2 linked regions of the Stegostoma tigrinum genome follow. The protein of the gene in region 1 purifies or fractionates together with the protein of each later gene. This does not show direct contact. Links are inferred from orthologs where the notes say so. Each region holds a gene or a part of one and is shown on either strand. Other genes may lie near its edges.

What was found.
Region 2: the proteins of ift140 (region 1) and wdr19 purify together in Homo sapiens (co-immunoprecipitation; 3 studies listed by BioGRID and IntAct, with this or other methods). This does not show direct contact. The link is inferred for Stegostoma tigrinum from reciprocal best matches to the Homo sapiens genes IFT140 and WDR19.

The regions. Positions count from the first base shown.
Region 1 is NC_081376.1:31,776,205-31,779,956, reverse strand, and holds the start of ift140 (intraflagellar transport protein 140 homolog), read right to left. Parts: upstream 2,675-3,752; 5' UTR 2,506-2,674; intron 1,686-2,505; 5' UTR 1,664-1,685; coding exon 1,511-1,663; intron 1-1,510. Other genes in the region: decr2 (peroxisomal 2,4-dienoyl-CoA reductase [(3E)-enoyl-CoA-producing]), read left to right, coding at 2,988-3,067, 3,491-3,559. UniProt on the Homo sapiens protein: Component of the IFT complex A (IFT-A), a complex required for retrograde ciliary transport and entry into cilia of G protein-coupled receptors (GPCRs).
Region 2 is NC_081354.1:98,068,907-98,072,658, reverse strand, and holds the start of wdr19 (WD repeat-containing protein 19), read right to left. Parts: upstream 2,143-3,752; 5' UTR 2,067-2,142; coding exon 2,061-2,066; intron 1-2,060. UniProt on the Homo sapiens protein: As component of the IFT complex A (IFT-A), a complex required for retrograde ciliary transport and entry into cilia of G protein-coupled receptors (GPCRs), it is involved in cilia function and/or assembly.

The DNA of each region.
Region 1 (3,752 bases):
ACTGAAGTTAATAAACACCCAATGTGCCACCTGTAGAATCAGTCATGTTGGTGTGCAAAAGGGGCAGGCCTGGAATATATATTTAGAGTTGTGCTTCATTTTGGACAATAATACATAATCAATAAACCAAGCAAAAATGAATTTCTAAAGAACTGCATTGGTGGGGCAGGGAGTTGAGTAGGGAGTGGGAGGAGGGGAAAAGGTGCAAATATTTACTTTAATTTAATATAGTACTCATATCCAATGGTTCTGGTCCTGTAGGTCAGGTTAATTTTAGATTTTAGAGACCAGAGTCAGTTAGAGTAATATTATAATACAGATGATAATGGTCATATTTTGCAGTTTAATTCATTACAGTATTTCATGAAGGACTGAAACATTACAACATGCCTACATTAGGCACAGGCTTCTCTTCACGCTCACCACTCCCACTGCCTTCAACTGCAGTCATCCAAATAACTACAGTGTTTTTCTCCCAATAGAAAAATAGGACGAAACAGCTCCCAGTGGTGGAAGGGTCAAAAACTAGAAGACACACAAATTTCAGTGACTGGGAAAGTAGCCAAGCATATCATAAATATAAATATTTATTACAAAGCATGTAGTTAGAATCTGGTATATACTGCTTGAGTGCGGTGGAGGCAGAGTCAAACGTTGCTTTCAAAAGAGAATTGGATTAGCACGTGAAGAGAAAAAAATTGTAGAACTACACCTTATTGACAATTACAATGCGGAACCAGTTACAGCTCCAATATCTACAGCAGTTGTTAAAAAGTGTAGAATTACACTGGCAACAATCGTCTTTGTGACCAGTTCCAGACCTCGACGAGCTAAGTTTCGGTAGTAAGACTCTTCCAATTGTCATCTTGGTCGGATTGGATTGCTGCAGGCTGGAAAGTGGGGATGTCATTCTGGTTTGTGATGGTGGGGACATGTTAATATTGAACTTTAATGATGGGGCTGGGGGTAGGGAATGTATTGCCATATTTTATGTGATGGATTTGCAGATGATTTAGTGGTAGGGTATTTTAGTGATGGGGGGCTAGGGTTTGTTTTTAGTGTTTCATTTGTAGGGTGGGTCCCAGCAACTCTTGCTGAAATTTTATTACATTTATAACCTTTCCCAGATCTGTTGTTAGGTCATCGAACTGAAATCTGTTTTTATTCATCACAGATGCTGCCTAACTTGCAGAACTACAGGGAAAGTGTTGGGTTTGAGACTAATTGAACTTCTTCTGCGGAGCGGTGACATGAACATTATACGTTCTCTTTCTGTGCAGAAGCAACAGTATGATTGTACAAACATGAAAAATCCTCTAGAATTTCTACTCCAGTGACATCTGCTAGAACTACACAGTTACATGTCTTCTGCTGATTCAATCAGTAACTTGCTGACATTCATTACTGATGCTGTCAGTGATATGTCTCAGTGTAACTAATGACAAACAAACCAAAGCAAAGGTGACCGACCAGGTCTCCAAGACAGGAGAGAAAATTCCAAGATACCCACCTGCTCAAGATACACATCAACACTGCCTCCTGGAATGCAACTGGTGCTTACAGAGGCCACTGCCAATAATGGGTGGATATGATGCCAAGCAATCTGTGATGGAGAACCGATATTCTCAGGCGCTTCAATACGATGATCAAAGTAAACTGCCATCTCAACACAGTAAGGTAAGCTTCTGTCAGAAGACAATGCAATTTCAATAAAAGCCTGATCAACAATAGATTAAAAATTGTCAGCTTAACTCAATTAAAAAATAGCTTGCAGTATTTTGATAATCCCTGTTCCCTTCTTGACAATTACACTGAGGAACCAGTTACAGCTCCAACTATCTATAGCAAAATTTAAAGAGTGTAGAATCACACTGGCAACAATCTTCCTTGTGACCAGTCCAGGCCTCGACTAGCAAAGTTTTGGGACTAAGGCTCTTCCAACAATCATCTTGGTCAGATTGGATCGCTCAGGCTGGTGGGGACATGTTACTATTGAGCTTTAATGATGGGGCTCAAGGCAGAGCACATGTTGCCATATTTTTGTGATGGATTTGCAGATGATTTAGTGGTAGGGTGTTTTAGTGATGGGCTAGGCGTTTTGAAGTGTTTCAATGGTACGGAGGGTCCCAGCAACTCTCGCTCAAACTTTATTACGTTTATAACCTTTCCCAGTGCTGTTGTTAGGTCATCAACCTGAAGTCTGTTTTTATTCTTCTGTGGGTACAGCTGTGTGATTTGCTTTAGTAATAAATTGGAAGGGGGTGTTGTGTTCCGGGTGCTACCTGTTTGCAGTGTTGGTACCTGAGATTTTTCTGAATGCGCCGATTGATGATCCCGAATATCCCGCCCTGATGTTGAAATTTGCCAATCCAACTGACACATAACGCGACTAAGCTAGTACTGTGCCTCCAGGCTGCGGCCTATCTGCAACTACAACTCCGCATTATCCACTTGAAAAAAACTGGTGCCTCCCCTCGATCCGTGGGTGACTGAAAGCGGCGTTACCTGCAGAACAACGGGTGCTGGCCGTCCTCTTGCACGTTTTTCCTGGTGTTAGCTCCGATTCAAGATCGCTTTAGCGTACCTGCAGTTGCCGTAACAACCGGCGAGAGCGGAAGCGACACTTACATGCCGAAAAATGCCGATCATATCGAAAATACACGAGGGTTGATCCGATTAAATGGCATTGTGGGAAATGTAGTTTTGCCTGAGAGCTGCCTGAAGGAGGCGCATGCTCAGTACTAATTGGGGGCTGTGGCCGGGGGACGGGGGAGTTTTAGGCGGTATTTTGACTCTGTGACCAGGGCCCTGAAAAGGAGTCTGGGTCAGAGTTCATCTGGACCTGTTTTAGGAACTCCCTCCAGAAATTATCTCTAGAGTTTGTGAAAACTCTGTTTTTTGGAGTCCGTGTAGGAGCTTCACTTCCTTCCCCAAAATAAGGCAGAACGAAGATTAAAACTGATTCCTAAGAAATAATCACGTCTGTCATGGGCAACAGTCCTCAGGAAGTGGATACTGATGATTGTTTGTTGAACTATTCGTATATATTCAGCCATGACATACTGAAGTAAGAGATGGTAGGAACTGCAGATTCTGAGATAACAAGGTGCAGACCTGGATGAACACAACAGGCCAAGAAGCGTCAGTGGAGCACGAAGGCTGACGTTTCGGGCCTAGACCCGAAACGTCAGCCTTCGTGTTCCTCTGATGCTGCTGGGCTTGCCGTGTTCATCCAGCTCCACACCTTGTTTCCTCAGATACTGAAGTAAGCCGTGTTATATTTTCAATGTGTAATCTGCGGTGAGTGACAGTGAGTTATGTTTAAAGGATCCCTTTTGCTTGCAAATGTTCTTTGGAACAGTATTTTTCGTACGCTTTGATTACATTAGGAGGGGCACGCGACTGCTGTGATGGGAGGTGTAATTGTACTTACTGCTTTTAATAAAGTAATAAATAATTATTAGTGTTAACCTCTTACATCTCTGAATAGGGACAAAGTGGCATTCATCACAGGAGGAGGATCTGGCATTGGATTCCGAATTGCAGAGATACTGATGAGGTAGGGCAGCAGCTGCAGTATGGGCAAATGTGTACTTGAATAGAACTTCATGAGCTTCTGGTGATGGTATAAGTGATGAGAACAAAAACAAAGTTGCTCCAAAAGCTCAGCAGGCCTGGCAGCATCTGTGAAGGAGAAAACAGAGTTAACATTTTGGGTCTGGTGACCCTTCCTCGGAACCCAGTTCGTGACT
Region 2 (3,752 bases), on another chromosome or scaffold:
CTCCAGACTACAACAGCATCACGCTAATAAAGTCAAGATTGGATCTGAGCACATAGAATGCAGTCAGTTCAGGGGAAAATAGGTTGGAATGGGACAGGGGAGGAAAGAAGTTGTTGCCCGCCACATCTACACATCATCCTGTACCCTGGCCAATATCTCTGTCTTAGGCTTGCTGCAGTGCTCCAGCAACGCTCAGCATAAGCTGGATGAACAACAATTCATTTTCTGCTTGGGGTCCCTGCCCTACTCAATATCGAGTTTAATAACTGTAGGTCTTGAACACTCCTATGTCCTAGTCCCCACACCAAAGCACCAGGCCTTGTGACTGCATAGTCTGCTATTACACACAACCCATTGTTAGCCACCAACAGTCTCCATTAACAGCTATTCACTCTCCTAGCCAAATCCTTATCTACTCTTTTGTCTGTCCAACTGTCTTCTCTCTCTTTGGGCTCTATCCTCACCTATCATTTACTCCTTACTCCCTTCCCCCCATCCCATCTTCTGCATTAATACCAACATTTTCTGAGCTACCATCAGTTCTGAGGAAGGGTGACCGGACCCAAAATGTTATCTCTGCTTTCTCTAGACGCTGCTAGATTAAAGTGGCCATGGAAGGTGTGATCTTAGGATGTTTAGCAAAACATGCTCTATGGCTGCTCCGGAGCTTTGGTGGTGGATCGAGCAGGTGTTTCTGGACTTAGTGCCAATCATTCAGGCTGTTTTATCATGGATAGTGTCAACCTTTTGCGTTGTTTGATTTACACTAATTCAGGCAAGTGGGAAGTATTGTCACATTCCTGACTTGTGCCTTGTAGATGGCGGAAAGATTTTTGAGAAGTCAGTTGGTGAGTAACTTAGTGCAGTATTCCAAGACTCCAGCCTGCTCTTGTAGCCACTGTAATTATAATGGTATGCCCAGTTGAGTTTCTGGTCAACAGTAACTGCTAGGATGAGGGAATCAGTGATGGCGACTCCATTGAATGTCAAGTGATGGCATGAATGTTACTTGCCACTTTTTCTGCCCAAACCTGAATGCTGTCTAGGTCTTGATGCATTTGGACAGGGACTGTTTCAGTATCCGAGGAGTCATGATGGTGCTGGCCACTGTGCAAGTACTGGTGAACATCCCCACATCTGACCTGATGGAGGAGGGAAGGTTTTCGATGAAGCAGCTAAAGATTGTTGGGCCTAGGAACCACTGAGGAACTCCAGCAGAGATTTCCAGGAGCGGAGATGACTGATCTCTGACAATCACGACCATCTTCCTATGTTCAAGGAATGCATCAAATTAACAGAGAGTTTTCTCCTAATTCCCAGTGATTTGAATTTTAGTAGGGCTTCCTGATACCACACTCTATCAAACATGGCCTCGATTTCATGGGCTGTCACTTTCACTCCTGAAATTCAGTTGTTTTGTCCATGTTTGAAGTCAAATTGGACATCACTGAGCAAATGGTCGACAAGTAAGTGCTGGTTGATTACATTGTTAATGTTACCTTCCGTCACTTACCACATGATCAAGAGTAGACTAATGGGGAGGCAATTAGCCCGGTTGGATTTATCCTGCTTTTGGTGTACAAGACATACTTGGGCAATTTTTCACATTGACAGGCAAGTGCCAGCATTGTAACTTAACTGAACCTGCTTGGCTACGCAAACAGCAAGTTCTGGAGCACAAGTACTATTGTCAGAATGTTCTCAGGGCCCACAGCCTTTGCAGTATCCAGCGGAAGCTGGTATTAATGGATCTGTGGTGAACACAGTGAGAGTACAATTACAATACTTTCTAGGAGACAGAATATCCCCACGTCTCGGGGGAATATTTTCTGGGTCATGAGGGTTCAGGGACTACAATCCATTGTACCACCAACTCCGTTTCCATAGTAACCGTCAAAGTAGAGCTGAGGCCTTTGCAAATTGCGGTGTTATCACAAGCCATCGACAACAGCGGCGCTAAGTAACAAAACCGAAAATTGTTAACGCGAATACATCTCTCTCTCCTCAACCCGAAGACTTGATGATACCGGAGCAGCCTCCACCTGCACTTCCTCTCTCACCTTCATCTTTCTCTTTATTTCCTTCAGCCTCTAGCTTCCCCAAGTGTGGCCGCGCTGACCAAATGCGCACGCGCAGCAATGCGTCCTCTTCCCGTAGTGCAACGCGGTAGGGCGTCTGGTAGCCATGGTAACCGTCGGCATGCGCCATCACCGTGTTTCTTTGCAGGCTCAGTCCCAGTGAGAAAGCCTGGAGGACCATGAATTTACTGTCAACCTGGGGCTGCTTGTTTAAAAGAAATCTCCATGACTACTAATCTAAATCAAAACAAAAAGCCGAAAGGTATCAACAGGTCACAGTCCGTGGAGATAAAGGCCACAGAACACCGCACTGCCCGTTTCTATCTCCTTCCCAAAATCCACAAACCTGCCTGCCCTGGTCGACCCATCGTCTCAGCCTGCTCCTGCCCCACCGAACTCATCTCCACCTATCTGGACTCCATTTTCTCCCCTTTGGTCCAGGAACTCCCCACCTACATCCATGACACCACCCATGCCCTCCACCTCCTCCAGGACTTCCAATTCCCTGGCCCCCAACACCTCATCTTCACCATGGACGTCCAGTCCCTATACACCTGTATTCCGCATGGAGATGGCCTCAAGGCCCTCCGCTTCTTCCTGTCCCGCAGGCCCGACCAGTCCCCCTCCACCGACACCCTCATCCGTCTAGCCGAACTCGTCCTCACACTCAACAACTTCTCTTTTGACTCCTCCCACTTCCTACAGACTAAGGGGGTGGCCATGGGCACCCGCATGGGCCCCAGCTATGCCTGCCTCTTTGTAGGTTACGTGGAACGGTCCCTCTTCTGCACCTACACAGGCCCCAAACCCCACCTCTTCCTCCGGTACATTGATGACTGTATCGGCGCCGCCTCTTGCTCCCCAGAGGAGCTCGAACAGTTCATCCACTTCACCAACACCTTCCACCCCAACCTTCAGTTCACCTGGGCCATCTCCAGCACATCCCTCACCTTCCTGGACCTCTCAGTCTCCATCTCAGGCAACCAGCTTGTAACTGATGTCCATTTCAAGCCCACCGACTCCCACAGCTACCTAGAATACACCTTCTCCCACCCACTCTCCTGCAAAAATTCCATCCCCTATTCCCAATTCCTCCGCCTCCGCCGCATCAGCTCCCACGATGAGGCATTCCACTCCCACACATCCCAGATGTCCAAGTTCTTCAAGGACCGCAACTTTCCCCCCACAGTGGTCGAGAACGCCCTTGACCGCGTCTCCCGCATTTCCCGCAACACATCCCTCACACCCCGCCCCTGCCACAACTGCCCAAAGAGGATCCCCCTCATTCTTACACACCACCCCACCAACCTCCGGATACAACGCATCATCCTCCGACACTTCTGCCATCTACAATCCGACCCCACCACCCAAGACATTTTTCCATCCCCACCCCTGTCTGCTTTCCGGAGAGACCACTCTCTCCGTGACTCCCTTGTTCGCTCCACACTGCCCTCCAACTCCACCACACCCGGCACCTTCCCCTGCAACCGCAGGAAATGCTACACTTGCCCCCACACCTCGTCCCTCACCCCCATCCCAGGCCCCAAGATGACATTCCACATTAAGCAGAGGTTCACCTGCACATCTGCCAATGTGGTATACTGCATCCATTGTACCCGGTGCGGCTTCCTCTACATTGGGGAAACCAAGCGGAGGCTTGGGGGGACCGCTTTG